Linked DNA regions of Kluyveromyces lactis. The protein of the gene in region 2 purifies or fractionates together with the protein of the main gene of each other region. This does not show direct contact. Links are inferred from orthologs where the notes say so. Each region holds a gene or a part of one and is shown on either strand. Other genes may lie near its edges. The genes, in order: LSM6, PRP3, LSM4, BRR2, LSM8 and PRP6.

What was found.
Region 1: the proteins of PRP3 (region 2) and LSM6 purify together in Saccharomyces cerevisiae (affinity purification with mass spectrometry; 3 studies listed by BioGRID). This does not show direct contact. The link is inferred for Kluyveromyces lactis from reciprocal best matches to the Saccharomyces cerevisiae genes PRP3 and LSM6.
Region 3: the proteins of PRP3 (region 2) and LSM4 purify together in Saccharomyces cerevisiae (affinity purification with mass spectrometry; 3 studies listed by BioGRID). This does not show direct contact. The link is inferred for Kluyveromyces lactis from reciprocal best matches to the Saccharomyces cerevisiae genes PRP3 and LSM4.
Region 4: the proteins of PRP3 (region 2) and BRR2 purify together in Saccharomyces cerevisiae (affinity purification with mass spectrometry; 8 studies listed by BioGRID, with this or other methods). This does not show direct contact. The link is inferred for Kluyveromyces lactis from reciprocal best matches to the Saccharomyces cerevisiae genes PRP3 and BRR2.
Region 5: the proteins of PRP3 (region 2) and LSM8 purify together in Saccharomyces cerevisiae (affinity purification with mass spectrometry; 4 studies listed by BioGRID, with this or other methods). This does not show direct contact. The link is inferred for Kluyveromyces lactis from reciprocal best matches to the Saccharomyces cerevisiae genes PRP3 and LSM8.
Region 6: the proteins of PRP3 (region 2) and PRP6 purify together in Saccharomyces cerevisiae (affinity purification with mass spectrometry; 5 studies listed by BioGRID). This does not show direct contact. The link is inferred for Kluyveromyces lactis from reciprocal best matches to the Saccharomyces cerevisiae genes PRP3 and PRP6.

Annotation. Positions count from the first base shown.
Region 1 is NC_006041.1:232,580-234,684, forward strand, and holds LSM6 (U4/U6-U5 snRNP complex subunit LSM6), read right to left. Parts: upstream 824-2,105; coding exon 581-823; downstream 1-580. Other genes in the region: GTPase-activating protein RGA2, read left to right, coding at 1,938-2,105. UniProt on the Saccharomyces cerevisiae protein: Component of LSm protein complexes, which are involved in RNA processing and may function in a chaperone-like manner. Component of the cytoplasmic LSM1-LSM7 complex which is involved in mRNA degradation by activating the decapping step.
Region 2 is NC_006041.1:826,813-830,177, reverse strand, and holds PRP3 (U4/U6-U5 snRNP complex subunit PRP3), read right to left. Parts: upstream 1,935-3,365; coding exon 660-1,934; downstream 1-659. Other genes in the region: HSP10 (Hsp10p), read left to right, coding at 15-332; TMA17 (Tma17p), read left to right, coding at 2,661-3,143.
Region 3 is NC_006041.1:1,855,046-1,857,602, reverse strand, and holds LSM4 (U6 snRNA complex subunit LSM4), read right to left. Parts: upstream 1,217-2,557; coding exon 665-1,216; downstream 1-664. Other genes in the region: TMN3 (Tmn3p), read left to right, coding at 1-177; SBF complex DNA-binding subunit SWI4, read left to right, coding at 2,280-2,557. UniProt on the Saccharomyces cerevisiae protein: Component of LSm protein complexes, which are involved in RNA processing and may function in a chaperone-like manner. Component of the cytoplasmic LSM1-LSM7 complex which is involved in mRNA degradation by activating the decapping step.
Region 4 is NC_006039.1:1,579,056-1,583,438, forward strand, and holds the end of BRR2 (ATP-dependent RNA helicase BRR2), read right to left. Parts: coding exon 697-4,383; downstream 1-696. Other genes in the region: TFIIH/NER complex ATP-dependent 5'-3' DNA helicase subunit RAD3, read left to right, coding at 1-604.
Region 5 is NC_006041.1:1,467,202-1,469,421, reverse strand, and holds LSM8 (U4/U6-U5 snRNP complex subunit LSM8), read left to right. Parts: upstream 1-1,373; coding exon 1,374-1,664; downstream 1,665-2,220. Other genes in the region: TDA10 (putative ATP-dependent kinase), read left to right, coding at 1-335; methylthioribulose 1-phosphate dehydratase MDE1, read right to left, coding at 1,703-2,220. UniProt on the Saccharomyces cerevisiae protein: Component of the nuclear LSM2-LSM8 complex, which is involved in spliceosome assembly. The LSM2-LSM8 complex plays a role in the biogenesis of the spliceosomal U4/U6-U5 tri-snRNP complex by accelerating PRP24-mediated annealing of U4/U6 di-snRNA.
Region 6 is NC_006042.1:396,232-400,596, reverse strand, and holds PRP6 (U4/U6-U5 snRNP complex subunit PRP6), read right to left. Parts: upstream 2,987-4,365; coding exon 329-2,986; downstream 1-328. Other genes in the region: PHO89 (Pho89p), read right to left, coding at 3,328-4,365. UniProt on the Saccharomyces cerevisiae protein: Participates in pre-mRNA splicing. Part of the U4/U5/U6 tri-snRNP complex, one of the building blocks of the spliceosome.

The DNA.
Region 1 (2,105 bases), about 590 kb from region 2:
CTGTGCACCGAATTAAGGTTAAAAGGTTCCACAAGAATGGTACAGCCCTCACTTGTTCCACCTTCTATTCTCTTTAATATATTCTCAAAAAAAAACTACAACATGATATGAGGTTCGCGGTTTGTTTGATCTGAAAGCTTTCTTTATCACAGAATAAATAAGAAACTACGAAAGGAACCTCTTTGATCTCCTTTTCTCTAACGATATGACAATAAATTTTCTCTTTTAAGAATCATGATATAAAAATTTGAAAAGAGTAATGTATAACTCACTGGTACAAGGTTAATATATATTATTATTGTATTAGATATCTACATATTCTTATTATTTTAAAATAAAATCAGAATTTAAATTTATGTATGCTTTGGTGCTTTATATATGTGCATCGTAGTATTTTTTAACACTTTCCGCTTTGATAACGTTCCATCTTTATAGTATACAATTATATACTTTTGTATATAAATTATTATTAGTATTATCATATTATTGTAGTTATTGAGCTTCTGAGCAAATAGGACACTTTATAATATCGACTTACAAAAGTCATTGGTCGAAGTCAATCTTATTGCCCAATCGAAGCCTATTTTTCGCTAATGTATAACACCTGCGATCCCCTTAGAAATACTTCAGAAGGATATTTATGCAAAGTTCCGTTCTCTTCTGCCTCATAATGTTCCGACACTTGTGACATTGTGACGTTCATAAACCCATCAATTGATTCTAGCTTACCTTGATACAATATTCCTGAGAATAGCTTGACGTATACTGGTTTTCCAATGATGTTCTCCAAAAAGGAGCCAGAAGCCGTTGCCTTAGATTCCATGATGTGTTAACAATCTATGCCTTTGAAATTTGGTAGCGTCGAAATAAAGATATGAAGAAGCCTGTAGTTCTTGCATCTGAACCTACTCTCATCATTCTCCATCAGTTCAACGTTATATTAACAAAGTTCACTTTTCATTGTTCACGTTGAAGTAAAAGGGAAAGAATGTTCTAGTCACGTGATCTGTGGTAAAGTGAATTAAGTGATATGCAGTAAGTAATAAATTAATTAATTAAATGAATGGAAGGGAACAGCGCAGATTATAGTAATATATTGCTCTAGCTTGGAAACAAATGTCAAAGGTTCTTCCTGGATACATTCCGACAACAACCAGCATTCTTTGACTCCAATTTTAGCCAAAATCTTCGAACTCTAAGACCTTGAAACAAAGAAACTGAACTCCAAATCACGCCTGCACACCACATAGTTCAAACATTCTCAAACCTGGTTCCTGATTTTGTTTCAATGCATATATACATTTCGAAACCGTTGAGAGACAGCACTAATTTACCTTAGTGGCTCTCTGCAGCTGATAGATATGCTATATCAATTCAGCTAGAATATAATTGACGTGGTGTGCTGTTTACGTTTCCCTATCTAATTGACTTCCATATTTAGCACTGGTTAGGACCGATTGTACATATATATAATCAAGATTGAGACACGATTTATTTATATCAACTCGCTTCAAACGTTTCGGATTTTAACAAGATAGGGCTGCATTCACTCTCGATCAAAACATTCCTTGAGTTAATTGAACCCTCGTATCTATATTTCGATCTCAACATTCATATTGAGGGAATTTACTCCGTCCACGAGGAACAGCTTGGAATTCTTTTCCCTTATATAGTACTCTCTAACGGTGCGTGGCAAGAAAATATCATAGTATAAAGCCGCTGCTAATACATCTCTCTATTAACTTTTTTTTTTTTTTGGTGTGTCGTGCTCTTTGTGCGTGTTCTGTTATTATTATACTTTCGATTCGAAGATTAATCTTAGATTTCTTTTCAGCTTTTGATCCATTAGATCAAAAAGTTATTGATCCAGGGACAAACGAACACACTACAAGACCATCACCTCCACAGCGTGCTACATCTGCAAAACTAATTACCGTATGTCTGCCTCTCCGAAGGGGGCTGCTGAGACGTCAGTATGTGTTCGTTGTACGAACCATATTACTATGGGTCATGCGTACGAATTAGGCGGAAATAGATGGCACACCCACTGTTTCTCCTGCTACAAATGTGATAAGCCTCTAAGTTGTGACTCGGATTTCTTAGTT
Region 2 (3,365 bases):
AATAATAGGTCAAAATGTCCACTCTATTGAAGTCTGCTAAATCTATTGTTCCATTGTTGGACCGTGTTCTGGTGCAAAGAATCAAGGCCGAAGCCAAGACTGCTTCTGGTTTATACTTGCCAGAAAAGAACGTTGAGAAATTAAACCAAGCTACTGTGTTGGCTGCTGGTCCAGGTTTCACCGATTCCAACGGTAACAAGATTACACCATCTGTCCAACCAGGTGACCAAGTTTTGATCCCACAATTCGGTGGATCCACAATCAAGTTGGGCAAGGATGATGAAGTCGTTTTATTCAGAGACTCTGAAATCTTGGCCAAGGTCGTCGAATAAAGGTCTCGAACGTTACACCAGAATTAAATTTAAAGAACGATGTTATGAGCCAGTATCTTTCTCTGTTATTGATGATTGAATTTTGAGAGACGAAGGGAGATATTATTTATATAAATATGACTTTTTTTTGATGTTGGTAGTGATAAAACTCAATAATGTTGACCATTGTGCGTCACTTGGACTGCCTACTCACCCCATGTAAATAAATGTTCTAAGTAGGTCGTTGGATTTACTCCGGTTTTATTTTTTTTAACATACACTATTACTTTTATTCCAAAATTTTGATGATTTCGAACTTGGATTTCATTTTCAGTACGTAATTGTTTGTTAAAACTTACCTAATGGTACAAAAGTCAATGCATCGTGCTGCTCTAAGATATTATTTAACTGGTTTTTATCTTTACAATCGAGCATGAACCAGCCCTTGAATCTACAATCACCAATTAATCCTTGCCAAACCTTTGTAATTTTACCGTCGCAAGGTACTGTCTCTTCGGTATCTCTATCTTTGTATGGTTCCGACCAATTGATTCGCTTTGTCACCAACTTATCGAAAAAGCGGATAGATTTTTCATCTCCAAAAGCTACAATTATACCTTTGCCATTTTGAATGTGTAGACAGCATCCTTTCAACTTCAATTGCTTACCGTTGGTTTTGATTTTGTATCTGATACTAGGATTCTGTATTTCGTCAAACATGTAAACAACACACGTGTATTCTAGAGGACTATCATTGCTGTGTGCTTGTAACTGGGATTCCTTCCTTCGTTTCAGGCTTTCTTGATGCCTTATTTCATTTTCTTCGAAATGTTTCCTTTTCCTCTCTGCCACTTGTCTCCGTACGATGGATTCCCATTGAGTTGGATCCGCAATATTGGCATCATTCTCATACACATTCATCATATTCGATAATTTAACCTTGGGCTCTGGTTTTGGTTCTATACCAAGCTTGATTTTCTCCTCCTTCTCCTGTCGTACCAACTTCCTCGTATTCCTTCTGGCCTTTTTCCGTTCGTTTTTCGTTAAGAAAATCTCTGCCACTGGAACAGCTGCCCTAGGCCTTTCAATCGGTACCGGATGTTGAATATACCTAATACTTGGGAATTTATCTTGTGCACCTTCCTCTTCCTCTTCCTCTTCATCATCACTTTCATCGTCCGAATTCAATGTGGAATAATCCAAACTATATTTCTCATGGATGCTACCATCTTTGATATATGGAACATCCCACCATTCCACATCAGGAACGTCCGATAAATCGGTAAAATAAACTTCTTCATGCTTATCAGGTAGTTCCCCTATTTCTATTTTCCGTTCGATTTCCTGCTGTTTCTCCAGTTCAGCTTCCCATCGTATTCTTTCTTCTTCAGACTTTTCACGGTTCTCTTGTCTTAATTTTGCAGCATGCTGGACAACCTCTCCCGGTTCATACCAATGAGACGATACTCTTGCCTTTGGCTCAAAACCATGAGCCTGTACGTCTTGCAAGTATGGGTTTCCACAACGTCTACCTTGAAATCTCAATAAATTGACATTCTCAACACTCAATGCAGAATGCAATTTCCGATTTAACCCTCTATTAGTATTATTATCATTGCCCATTATATGATGATATGATTTTTGTACAAAGGGCCGATTATTCCAGACAATCCGTAGTTACTATTACACATCACCATTTGTCTTTTGTCCATCTCTTCTCTAGCATCGCAATGAACTCTCTCTCATATAGAATCTGAATCACATCTTCACTCTGTAACGCCTATGATGAAATTCACCATGCCCGGGTAATATATCCGAAATTGCACCAACCCCTGATTGTGCGTAGTGTATGGGTGGAAGCCAAAACAGCACAATTTTTCTGTTTTATGGGATGAAAAGAATTACATAAGCGGCCCCTAATTCTCGTTGTTTTTGTGTTCCTCGTGAGTTTCTCAACTCTTTGCTGAAAGGGACAAAGTTCAGTTCCCAGAGAAGGACTTAGGCGGGGAAATCCAGCCCAGGAGAAAGGAAAGCAGAAAAGCTGATGTGATTTTTAACAAGTAGTGTTGCTTTGGAGCTGGAAAAAGTCAGCATAGTAACGTGCGCATCATACACTCTGATTTGCAATGATGGTGCCTCGGAGGGGTGGGTGTCATATGTGGGGCGTGATATCTTACCGTTGGGTATAAATAGTAAGAGAATAAACTCTGGCTTAAATTATTGTTATAAAAGGCTAGCTTGAATATATAGTTAAGGATACCGATCTTAATTCATCTCGTACTTTCCAACCGAAACAAGACTAAAAAGTGAAAAAACATACATAGCTAAGGATAGACTTAACATAGAAATATGGCACATTCTTCTGGTATTCGTAGACCAATTCAGATTCAAGAGTTCGTGATTGCTATTAGAGAATCGTCTGAGCATGAATTACAAGAGATCAGAAAAGAGATCAATAATGCAGTGAAGCATTTACAAAGATCTAACAGAAGGTTAGAAGCGTACGTTGCCAAGCTTAAGGGTGAAGAGGTATTGAACAGACAAGAATTGGACGCGGAAGGGAATTTTTCCGATGATGATATTGATGAGAAGGATTTGCAAGTATTCCAAGACTCATTAGCGGAAAATGGAAAAGTATTGGATAATTATAACGAAAGGCTACAAGCTTTGGACCTAGAAGAACAGCACAGGGCTAGCACTGTATCTTCCGGTGACATCCAATCGGCGTCCACAAAATTAAAAAGATCTTTGCAATCTCAAGGCCGGAGAACCGTTGGCGTGGATTCAGATAATACTGCTGATGCCACTGGTTCCAATAGCATTAACTTATGAACCCATTCCAAACAAAATATATATAATGTACTCATATATTGAAGTATAGTAAAAAAAAAATGAATGAAAGCAAAAATGCATGTTTAAAAGTGTGGGCTGGTATGACCTCGGAAAACTGTATACTTTCAGAGATGAATAAACGCACCCGTTCTGGTTTCTTTCTCTTAGTTTCGGGCTGGTAATCTGCTGGGAAAAACCCTGGAATGAATCTGCTACAGACCA
Region 3 (2,557 bases), about 1.0 Mb from region 2:
TACTCTATTTTGTATTTGATTTTTGTTGCCAGATACAGAGATTTCATCTCATCTTTCCTATTTGTCTGTTATAGTACGTTATTCAACATTCTCTGCTGGACAGCATTTGGATCTTTAAGTTACCTAAGCTCATTGTGGTTCATCGGTAAGCTGAATGAATATAACAAGGCTAAATAAGTTCGCCTCTTATATTTAAAGTGAGGCCAAAAAAAAAAAGTCCGGCTCTCTTCAGGAGTCTCATATTTCTCCTATATAATACTGCATATCTAGCATGGACTTTCTAAACCAAGCATTTTTGTATAGAGTAATTTAAAAAATAACAACATTTGATCTTTTCCACGGTACCCATGCTCACATACTCTTAATATATAAAGCACTGATATACTGCTTTGAACTTAAGGTTCACTAACTCTGAATCATAATTAATAGGTAGTTCTTTTAATTTCATAACCCAAATTCAGTTTTAAATCTCAAAAGTGTGAAAGGAGTAACGAGAAAAAGGTTTAGGATATCGCATCGAATGCAATCGAAACAGATGTTTTTATAGACTTTTGACCGTCCAAGCCAACAAAATAGTCTCTTTAACCGCAATAAAAGTGATTGAATATGTAACCATGTAGACACACAAATACTTAAGAATTAAATGCTGAGAAAAGAGGTTAAATCAAAATTGTGGAGTTTGATTACTATTGTTTGACGCCTGCGAATACGAAAGCTGTGGATTGGATGATGCATCGTATTGTGATCTATTTTGAATATTATAACGACGAGATCCTGCATTGTTATGGCTGTGAGTATTGTTATTATTATTATTATTATTATTATTGTTGTTGTTGTAATCCCTTCTGTTACCTGAGTTTTGATAGTTTCTTCTACCACCTCTTCTGTTACCATCCCTATTCTGATAATAATTATTGTTATTATTGTAGTTGTTATTTCTTCTTCTATCGTCTTTACCGCCTCTGTTTTGACCCCATTGTTGTTTTACCTTGTCTATGATATCATCTTGCAAATTAACATACTTGATGAAAGAACCTTTCAAATAGAAGCTTGGTAATTTCAAAGTCTCTCCACTAGCTACATGAGTGACATTGGAAAGTGTCAAGTTCATCCAATTGTCTACATCAGATAGCGTACCTTCCACAGTTTCTCCATTTTTTAGTTCAACATGCATTGTTTGACCCTTTGCATTGGTCAATAAATATAATGGAAGCATTTTATGTTATAACTTATTGATCTGTTTTACCAATTATAGTGTGCCCGTGCTGTCGTATTTCTTTAGGTATCTCAAACCGTAGTAACTTAATCGTAGGAAAGGGTGGGGCCGGAACAATATACAATATACCAAAAAATTAGGACTCTGTCTGTCTGGAGAAGGAAAAATGTGAGGGAAAAAAGTATGAATTAGACTTTGTTGCTTATCTGCGTATCTGTAGTTTGAGTTATGTAACACTCCCTAGTAGGACGAACCAAATGCATACAATTGCATTGACAATATTTAAATTCCAATTACAATATAACTTCAGTTTTTCCAAATTTCATTGAGCTGGAAAAAGCATTCTCGACATTTCATAAAATTCATTTACCGGGTAACACTTAAAAGTTTCGAATCACGTGAGTGTCCCGGGTAATACTGACACGTGAATATAATCTGATTATTGATTTTTCTCTTATTTTTTCACTTTTAAGACTGTTTCTGCCCCCCTACTCCTTCGTGTCATACGGACCCTTCTAGGCGTTTTGAAAGGTTGCCTCAGCTTTGAATATGGGAACACACTGGAGTGAGGTTTGAAATGTGAGATCTGAGATTTTTTTTTTGGTGAGGCATCTAATCTTTCTTTTCCCAATTGGGTAAAGAGATTTGATCACAGTTTAAAATAAAGATTATAATCTTTTGAAAGCAGACTTTCTCACGCACTTTACAATGTCATTTATGATTTGTGTATACCTTTGTTATTAACAGTGTCTGTAGGCTACGTGAACTTAGCTAAATATCAGAGCATTCCAGTTGAGATTGATTTGGTCTGCTACTCCGATATCTGGATACATTTTTGGGCACTGGTGGAAAAGCTAGAATAACCGTAACTGCGTGGTATATTTTACGTTGAATTTTACAAAGTGAGCGAGCTTGAGATCACATTGCCAGGAGCAGAAGCAGAAGCAGCAGCAGAAGGTGACACTCGACTCGAAACGCTTTGTTGACTCTGGCGTGCTTTTCTTTGCTTTGTTTTGTCTAAAACAATTAGGATTTCGTGTGCATTTATTTCTTTCGTGTAATTATGGAACAACACTTGTCGCATCATAGCGGCAACGTTTTTGACAAGGAATCTATCCTTCAAATGCACATGGGCACTCATCATCATTCTGAGAATGATACACTTTTGAAACCGTTCAATTCTAATTTATTAGGAGCTAATAGTGGTGCTACCAATAATTCTTCTTCATCCACGGGAGCATCCTCTTCGATGATCGATGAAAGGCAGATCGATGGGAGTTTAAAGAAAATCAGTGAGGAACCTACTATGGCGGAGACAAGTGGTTATGACAGCGAATCGGA
Region 4 (4,383 bases), on a different chromosome or scaffold from region 2:
AACTGCTTTAGCATTGGAAACATACCGTAAGGCCTGTTCTAACGGACGAGGAGCCATTCTTTTGTCAGTTGCGCGTGGTAAAGTGTCTGAGGGTATCGATTTTGACCATCAGTACGGAAGAACTGTACTCATGATCGGCATTCCGTTCCAGTATACAGAATCTCGTATTCTTAAGGCAAGACTAGAGTTCTTACGTGAGAATTACCAGATCCGAGAGAATGACTTTTTATCTTTTGATGCAATGAGACATGCAGCTCAATGCTTAGGTAGAGTTTTACGTGGTAAAGATGACTACGGTGTAATGGTGTTGGCAGACCGTAGATTTGCAAGGAAGAAAAGTCAACTACCAAAATGGATTGCACAAGGTTTATCTGATGCCGACATGAACTTGTCCACGGATATGGCTATCGCCAATACTAAGCAATTTTTGCGAACCATGGCACAACCAACTGATCCAAAAGATCAAGAAGGTGTATCTGTGTGGAGTCATGCACAGTTACTGGCGCACCAAGAAAGTGTTAAGAAAAAGCAACATAACGGGTTTGTTGATTCGGATGTGACAGAAGTCAAGGATAATGACGGGGACATTGAAATGAAGGATTAGATAAAGGGATTCTACTCTGCTTATAGAAAGAATTTTATTTTAATTTATATTCACTGCATATATACAGTACTTTCTTTTTATTTATGCATTTACTATGCGATGTTAACATTAAATGTTACTTCCTTATCGGCATCCAAGTAAGAATCACATACACACCATATTGTTAGTTCATGATCACCAGGATCTTCCAATTCGATTTCCAATTCGTAGTCCTGGGTCATTTTTGTAAGCGCGATCTTCCTGATAGCATATAGCTGCCTGGAGCTCTTTTCACCGATGAATATCCACCATGCTTCAGTTTTTTCATGTGGCAACGACTTTGAGCTAACATTTAGTGTTTCTGGTTCTTCATCTCTACTTACTGTTACAGTAACCATTTTTTTGTCGTGAGGTTTCATCGGTGCTGACATATCTAGAGCATACTTCAACTCAATGTTTGGATAACTGTTGACAAATTCTGCGACTTTATTCAACTTATTTTCCGGTAAAGTGATGATATCTTCTCTTTCTTCATCCTCTAAAGCCATCACGTCATAAACTGTTTCTACATTATGGTTTTTGCATTTCTCCAAGATGTCTGTATCAAAGAATGGAATTTGTTTCAAAGGTGAATCAGTATCCCACACACCTTGAACAATCATTTGACTTAAATCCATAGCAGTAGTGGCATTCAAATAACCGTTCATTGACAATATATCTACCATTGTTCCTGCTAAGCTAGGTGCTTTTGAAAGGATTTCAGACAAATCAAGTGATAAGTCCATGGGTAAATGAAGACCTGAAAAATGGGCCTGCAATAACACAAAAACCTTGGCTGTTGTGGAGCGTGGATCGAATTCGGAGGACAACTTCAAAGGTGAAATGTCGTATAATTTTCTTAATGGCTTTATATCATGTAATCTAAGAGGCAATGTCTTAAACTCTTCACTTGAAGACAAAATTTCAAGAATACCGCTCATTCTTAGTGATCTTGATGCTGCTCGGCTAAAATTGCATATCGTTAAACAACTTACGGCATGGATAGCAGAAATAAGACAGGCATTATTCGGGGAAATTACCTCCTCTGCAATTTCTGTGGAATCGTTCGCTTCCCCTTCAACTGATATAAGCTCGGTTTCCTTCATGGTTGTTACTGCTTCCTCTACTAATTCTGTTAAATAGGAGGAAATTTCGTCTGCAGTCACATCTTGAATACCGTAGAAACTTGGATTTGCATGTATTCTACGATATAGATAAGTGTAAGTTAAAAGGTCGATACAGTCTTGCTTGGTTTCTAATGTTTGGTTTGCAAACTCCGTTGTAAGTAAATCAATAACATGGTATGGCAGAGAACTCTCCGTTGGTAACCCATCACAAAGGAATTTTTTATAGTATTCCTTCCTTTGCATTGTGGTGATTAGTTTTGCATGTGCTTGCTGTTTATTTGACGCCGTAAACGCTGTTCCCATCATCTCAAGAATAGTATTTACAGGATAATCGATGTATCTGTTCTCCCTGCCTTCAAAATATTGAGTTGTAGTAACAAAGACAAAACTTGATGAAGGGGCATCAAAACAACAATCCCTACTTGCAACCAAAATCGATATCACCTTGTATTCATGGAGCTTACGGACTACATTCCTATCGGAATAATGCATACCTTGGTATAGAATTCCTATACCACTTTGCAACAGTGTCTTGAGGTTGCTGTCCTGGACCTTGTTGAGATACGAGTGTAAACTGGATTCCTCTGCTCTAAGAAGATCAATGCCTTTAGCAACAGCGAGACCAACGAGTTCTGTCGCGAAAGAAACGCATTCATATCTGTCAGTGACGAAAACTGTTATAGTTTCATCGGGTGAGGCGACACGATTACTACTTTCAACGATCTCAGTTAGGGCCATTCGATTAGAAGTAGGGCTTTTTACTAAAATGCTAGTTTCGATATCGACTGTCAAGGGTGTTTGCCTTTCTAAAGCAGTAAAATTGAAAATACTTGATTTTTTTGCACCTAACCATTCTCCGAAATCCTTTGCGTTGGCAAGTGGGGTTCCAAGCCCCACAATCCTTATATTCTTCTCCAATTGTGTTGCAATGAAAATCATTCTCGTAATTATGATTTCATACATCGGTCCAATTATCTCGTTGCCTATTTCATGGATGTCATCACAAATAATTAGTTCTATTCTTTGAATGTTTTTTCTTTCCGGCCAGCGACGAGACAGGTATTCAAATTCATTCGGAGTAGCTAATATTAGATGAGATTGGGCTAATTGTTTTTGATCGTGCTGCAAATTTCCAGAAAAAGCATTGATCAGTTTTCCACCAGCCAAATGTGAGAATCGCTTTTTCCAATTCTTTAGAAGTTCAGTTATCTTGGTTTTGAATGGACAAATGTAAATCGCACGTCCTCTGCCTTCTCTCCAATGGTTCAATAATGAAAGTTCTGCCATTATTGTTTTACCGGAACCTTTTGTTGCACATATTAGTGCGTTTTCAGTTTCATGGTATAATGTATCGAAAACTTCAGTTTGAACTTTATTGAAAGAATGGAAATTGTATAACGCCTCAAATTCATCAATTTGTAGTTCCTTGGTACTTTTCTTAATTGAATCAGAAACAGATATTGCAGGAGGGAATGGTTTAGGTAATTTTATTTCACTCAAAATAACAGGAATCTTGTACTCACAGTTTAGCCATTTTTCTGATATAACGGATACAAAATAGTTCGGCGGTAACATTTTCTGCTTCAAAAATACAACAAAGTCAAGATACACAATGCTGTTTATTGCATTTCTCCCAACATGCAATGTCTCATGATAAATTGTTTGTTCACCGTCTGTGTCTTCGACAAGAACAAGGAATGTTTCAGAATAGCTGCTGGAATCCAGATCCCAGATCCATGTAGGTTGGAGTTCCAACTCAAAACGAAGTAGTGAATTTGTAACTGGCTGCATTGCGCAGTGAATGCCAATCTTCGGGAATCTTTGAAGCAAATCGAAAGCAACTTTACCATTTTTTGGAGATCTTAAGGCTTCGCCTACCTCATGAGCATTCTTCAACAGTAAGAAATCGTTCCAGGGTAAACCAGACGCTTCTGCTCGTCTTATGATTTCTTGAGGGCATCTCTTGAATTGCCTAAATGGTGAGTTCGTGGGCCACATTCTGCTATCGACGCATTTACAGATGGTAAGCAGAAGCTTGGTTAGTCTTGGCCATCCTTTTCTTAAGCACATTTCGAAGAGTGCTCTGAAAAGTCTACCTGCGCTCTGAGAAATGTAAATCATATCCGCATTTAAAGCGAACCCCTCCAATCGTAATTTTGAAATGTACACCTGAAGTAGAATGTTTGCCTTGGCTAATGAATCAGTAGCCTTCTCCTTGATCGGAATTGGACAACGCTCGACGAGTTTCTCTAATTCAGTTTTCTCTTCTTGTCTTACGGTAATGTTCTTAAACTCTTCTGACATAGCAAATATTCTCAGAATGTCGATCAAAGTGCTGTTTATTGTTAACTCCCGGTTGTATTTTGCAATTGACGAATAACTTATGTAGAAATGAGAGGATATTCTACCTAGCTCAGTTGGTTGTACCGACTTAGAAAGAGAGTCATAGTTTACAAGACCGTTATTCTGTAATAAATTCAACGCCGTATGCACAATATTTCTGTTGACTCTTATGAGCTCAGCATCACTCATGTCTCCTGAAGAACCTTGCAAGTTGTATAAATGAGGTGATTGCTTCATCCGTACTGATAAATAGGAATAACCCAACCAGTTAACTGCTTCATCTAGTGAGGT
Region 5 (2,220 bases), about 640 kb from region 2:
TGTTACATCTGAAACAAGTGAACCGTTCGTTGAAAGAGTACGGACAATTGCTATGGAATAATGAGTCATTGGATACTGTCGGTATCAAGTTCGCAACTGACGACACCAACAATGTATATAGGTGGAGGTTACAACAAGAGCATGCTATGCTAGCATCTCAGGGCGAAGGAATGACTGATGCGCAAGTGAAGGCGTTTGTTGATAGATATATGCCTTGTTATGAACTATATTATAAAAACTTCATTGACCCGAACACCGCGTTCGGCAAAACAAATCTTACCATTGCCATCGATGCCGACAGAAATGTGGTCAATCATTTCATTTCGCACTCTTGAACTTCTTCCCAGGGGATTAATACCCTGAGTCGTTGTGTCTGGTTTTGATTTAGGTGTTGAGATTCAGGCGTAGCGATAGATTCATGTCTCAATCTTTTCTCAAGCAACGCCTGCCTCTTGCTAGCTAACCTCATATCTTCATGCAACGTCTGGATGGCATCCGTGAGGTCTTGCATTTGTTGCACGACATTGAACATGACATTTTCATTCATGGTAAATCTGTCCATCCATTCTCGATGTCGTTTATCCATCTGCTTCGTAATATTATCCGCTAAAAGTTGCAAACTTTCACCGCTTGATGCCTTTAATTGATCCAAACGAGACTTTACTTCAGAGACAATCTCCGTTCCCGTTTCTTGATTACCATCTAAATACACACAGAAATAACGGCGACTTCTCGGAGTCTCATCCGTTATTTTCCTAGTTAGTAAAAACTGACCGTAGTGACTCTTACAAAGAATCATTCCTAAAGGGTATCAATCAACGACCAATCCACGTAGATAGAACTAAGTAAATGCCCTTATACTAAGTAGATATTCCTTTCATTGTGCATAGAAACCATACCTTTTCTACTGTCAAGTTCTGCTTGGAATAACTTTCGCGAATGGCTCAATTCATCCACGTTCTCCTTGATAATCTTGAATAGACTCTCAGACGTGTCCCGCAACTGCACAGTCTCCAACTCTAGACGACTAGTCCATTCTAAGATCTGTTTGTCGGCGTCTGGAATCTTTTTAAAGGGAGAAGACCCGTAATCGGTCTCACTTTCATTCTCTTCCGCCATTTCAACCGTGATTCGGAGCTTCTAACAATATTAGCCACAACACAACTCTAGATAACTGCTGTAGAAGCCTGTATACTTCTGTTATGATGTGTGATTCTTCTTTGTTGAAGATGTTGTTGTTATTGATAATAGAGAATCTTCAAATAGAAAACATTACTTTCAAATTATAATAGTAACGAAGAAAAGATAACGATCCATCGGAGCGAAGATATCCACATAACTGCCCCCTTGTTTGCTAGAACAGTGAATGGACAATGAGTGCTCTATTGAAAGATTATTTGGACAAGAAGGTGATGTTGGTCAATGTCGATGGAGACACATACTATGGTGAAATGAAAGGGTTTGATCATGCGGGAAACATGATTCTTTTAAAGGACAGCAAGATATGCATTATACGGAGTAGTGAAGTGGTATTATGTGGGCTGATAGATGATATACCAGAAGAAAAAGAACTGGCAAAACTTCAGAAGTTCCCAGCGTGTAAGAATAAGTTACCGTTTAAAGAAGAAATAGACATTTGGAGTGAGCGATGGGCTAACAGATGAAATATAAATAATGTTATACACAGCTGCTGGTCTCCCTTTCATTGACCGAGTTCTTTCATTTTGAGAGCTACTTCAAAGAGGTAATCGATGGACTCGATGTATATCTTGGCTTTCTTTGGCGTGGGGCCCCAAACGAAGAGTCCATGTCTTTTCACCAGTACCGCACATGCATTTGGATAATCCTTAATCATTTGCTTCAACGCTGGCATGAGATCCTGTTCTTCTGGAGCGTTATCGATGATTGGAATACGTAGGGTATCAACGTTCCTCAAATTGGTACCGTCACCTTTGGGTATCGCCTTGATTTGTTCAATGTCCTTGATGGTAAACTCCTTCTCATATATCATTGAACAAAGCACCGCATTGATAGAGTGCGTGTGTATGACGCACGAGGCACCCAGCGTCTTGAATAGCTCCAGGAATAACGGTGTGCACGCAGAGGGTTTCAATCCAGGCGCACCACATTGATAAGTATCGTCCTGTATATTGTATTTAACAATTTGTTCAGGTTCCAACAGTTCTTTCTCAATGCCACTTGGTGATATGTATGCGATGT
Region 6 (4,365 bases), on a different chromosome or scaffold from region 2:
TCTCAACAGCTGCTATCGATGTTTTTCACTTCACCTCCGATCCCTGTCGACTACCAATACTCTTCGCAATTTCGAAGTTCCATTTTGGTTGTTCGTTTTCAAATTTTCAAATTCCACTGGAAAAAGTTCTCTTTGATAGATATAAGAGCTGACTCTTTCATAGCAGAGAATCAGATCACAACGGAAAAATACACAGAACTGCCGCATATACTGGGTTAGTTACGATTGAGGAACGGAACTTCTGACAATGCGGAAAGTCAATTTACAGTCGCATCAGTGTTGTCCCAATTTTTATTATTACAATCTTACAATCTTACATTCTATCTAATTATTGGTGTAAATTGTTGATAATGCTGTGCAAAATATCAATCGGAGAGTTTGATATGTGTAGGTATGAGTTTACTGCGGGCTCCCATAGTATACCGTACCTGGGTTCATTTTCTTTCAATTTCTTTAACGTTTTTTCTTCATTTATTTGCAAATCAACTGGATTCATGCACGACTCGCAGATGTAGAGCCATACCCATGGGTCCCCAAATTGAAGATTATTTTCCGAGGCTCTTATGAACCATTTATATGCCTTCGCGTATTGGTGTTCCTTTTGGAACACTTTTCCGATCTCAGTTATCACCATTGGATGCTCTTTTGTAGCTTCGAGAGCATCTTGGAATGTGGTTTTACGTAGTGATTTTTTAGGAAGGGTTCTGATGTTTAGACACCAGAGCCTCCAGCTGTGTGGACACGCTTTGAGACCCTGAGCGATGAGGTACGTTACTTGTTTGTTATCTTTCACTTGCAGTTCCAATGTAATGAGAGCCTCGTAGAGTGTATCGGATTTTGGATTCTTTAGTAGAGAAACGCTGAGTATTGAACGCGCTTTGCCCCAATCTTGTGTTTCCATTACCAGTCTGGAGAACTCCAAGCACACTTCTGGATCATGATTAGAAATATCCGTAGCCCTCTGTAGCACACGCTTCGCTGATGAAAGGTCCCTTTGTTGCCTGTATAGCTGTGCTTTCAAGATTAGTAAATGTTTGTCGTTTGGTTCACGTGCCAAAGCTATATCAACAGTAGAATGAGCTATTTCCAAACTGCCTTTAGATTGCAAACACTTAACGTAAAAAGGAACTAATTTATCAATGCATTCTACCAAGTGTGATTCGGCTTCTTCAAAGGAATTTATAATCTCATCCAATTTGCCATCTCTGTTCAAAATTTTGAGTTTAGCCAACCAAAACTCAGGATACGCCGAATTTGTCACCAGAGCTTTATCTAAAATCGACAACGCTTCAGTGGAACCAGAACCCCAATCCCAAACGTCTTTCGCATACATTAAAACCAAGACAGGGTATTTCTTTACCGCTTGAGAATCTGTAAAGAGGATCTTCCTGAATGTTTCGTGTAGCTCTAATTTCCGCGAAAAGTCTTCGGCGAAATTGGTGAACTCCTTCCAAATAGAGTACTTTGTTGGATATTTGATTAGGAAGGAGGAAAACAAGGTACACTGAAGTGTGGTGTCGTTTACCAACAGCTTCGAGAGACTTTGGAAATTTGAGGATGCGTCTTCAAATAAGTTATTGATGGTAGCTGTGATGATTGCTTTCGCTGTTAATGGATACAATCCTTCTGTTGATATAGCGACTGCATTTTCGAACCACTCAGTAATAGTTGGATTAACTTCCAGTTCATGAAGATCCTTTATTGCGCTAGAAATGATATTTACCAACGTATCGAGATTTGCGGTCGTTCTTTTTTCTTCGAGTTGACATTTGAGAAGCCAGTATGTGATGTCTTTTTTAATATGTTCTTCAGCAGATTTCAAGGTGTCCACTGCAGATTCGACTGATTGTAACCTTATCAACTTCAACCATAACTGCGAATCCTTCGGCACTAATTCAACTGCTTTCTTCAAAATTTTCAGCTTTTCAAGAGTGGAAGTTTCAAGATTTACCGCCACTTCCCATAATATAGAGCTTAGTGGTAGTTTAATTAGAGCCTTTCGAGTGACTTTAATTTTATCAGTATTGTGTTGTTCGAGGGCGATTGCCTTCAACCACAACTGCTCACTAAACTCGTTGAGCCTTAAGGCAACTGTAACCAACCTCTTGCAATATTCTTTATCGGATGCGTTCATGCGTATCGATTCTAACCAGATAGCTTCACTTTTAGGGCACAGTTTACAACCTTCCGCTAGCAAACTTTTGGCTCGATTGAACTGATTGGCTCTTTCTTCGATTCTTGCTGAAGAAATCCAGTTTTCTGGATTTCTTGGATGGGATTTACGATACGCGGCTAATAGGGATCTGTTTTTCCTAATGTCTTCCAAATCCGTAGATGAAATAGTGTTGTCATCTTGGTTCATTCTATTCAAGTATTCAGCATCATCCGTAAGTTGACTTTTGCTGTAATCAAAACTCTTATCTATCTGGACAGCAAGTAACTTTTCCCTCTCTTCAGTTAACTTGGATAAGTTGACATTAACCTGGAACAAAGTGTCAGGAGCAGCGAATGTTTTCCTTTCAAGTTGTTCCTCTATTCGATTCCTTTTGTTTCGTCTGGTCATATCAGATGCGTCAGGGATATCCAGCCAGTCTTGCTCAGAAAGAGTTGCTAAATTACGCTTCAAATCTACAAATTTAGAAGATAGCTTGTCTGGTTCATCATCTGGCTTCGTCTTTAGGCTTGTTTCATTGTCGATAATTTTTTTATTCTTAAGTCGCTGTTCGATCTTTTCGTACACTCTCATCTCTTGTTCGTCTTCATCTTTAACCTGTTTCTCCGATGATTCATTCGAAACTGCTGATCTGTATCTATTTGGATTCTTTGTTACAGAAGTATCTGGTGCATCTCGCCCATATCTATTCAATCTAGCAGGAACTCTTTTATCATCTTTACTTCCTCTGGTGGAAAAGCCAACCGCTCCACGACCTATACCAGCGATGTAACCAGGTGGTGGAGATTGTTTTAGGAAACTGGGAGTCTCCATGCCTATCACCGTGATAGTTGTTTACTCAGATGATTTACTAGTGAATAGTTTACTGTATGAGATGTCCTTTCGATACAAATTTTAAAGGTTTTGTTTTTAAAGATATTCTACAGATTCTTAAAACAATAGAGAATAAGCGTTGATAGAAATAAATATCGATTCTGCTTAGAAAGAATTAAATATGCAGGCTAATATATGAGGAAATTTGCAGAATCTATAATACCGAATATGTTCTATATTTGTAGCAGATAAACTATTATCTAGCTAGTGCACAAACAATTAATTAATGAAAGTTCCTAAAAGGCGCTGAGGCCATGAGAAAGAAAATATCAATCTGATGATTATGATAATTGGTAATCTCCACCGTAACGTGGTGCGTTCAAGATGATACCGTTCAAGATACCTGCAATGAGACCAGCCATTGGAAGAGTTAAGAACCAACCACTGTAACAGAAAGCGACCATTCTCCAGTTAACGGATTTCAAATCCCTGTTACAAAGACCAACGGCCACAATACCACCGACAGCAACTTGAGTAGTAGAAACAGGAATACTTAATTGTGTTGCCATAACAGTGGTAACAGCAGCACCAAGTTCAACGGAGAACCCTCTGGATGGAGATTGCAAAATCATCTTGTTACCCAAGTTCTTGATGATTCTGTAACCGTATGTCCAACAACCGAGGACCAATGCAGCGGCACAGTATGCTAAAACCCATGTGTGAACGTCAGACTTAGATTCCACAGTGTTTTTCTGCCAGATGTCATACACGGCAGCTAGTGGTGCAGTGGCGTTGGCAACATCATTGGCACCGTGAGCAAAAGACATAGTGGCGGCGGTAATAGCTTGCAAGATAGAATAGATGAATTCGATTCTGTTGTCATAGAAGGCAGATCTCTTGTACATGTCCTTGAAATCTGTTGACAAAGCACCTGTATCGTAGACCTGAGAATGAATAACATCTTGAGTCCAACCGTGAGAAGCAATCAACCAAAGTAATAGAGGCCACTTCTTTGGTCCTTGTTTTAGCAATGACCACCATAGCTGTTTGGTAGTTGGTTTTTCTTCTTGCAAAGTTTCTGTTTGCACCAATTTGATACTTTGGTTGACAGATTCCTTGTCGTTAATTTCAATATGTCCCTCTACAGTATCTCTTCCATCGGCGGTGTGGGAAGTTTCAATTTGGGTTTCATCATCTCCGGCAGTTTCATCTTCGAATCTTCTACCTTCGTAGTAATCAATGGTTAAAGATTGTCCAGCAGGTAGAGGTGGAATGTCGTCAGTGGACTTGAAGTAGAAAGTTGGGCCTCTGTAAATATCATACCATTTTAGGGTCCAGTCTCTGTGCAAGATTCTTCTTCTGTAGTATGGGTACAAGAA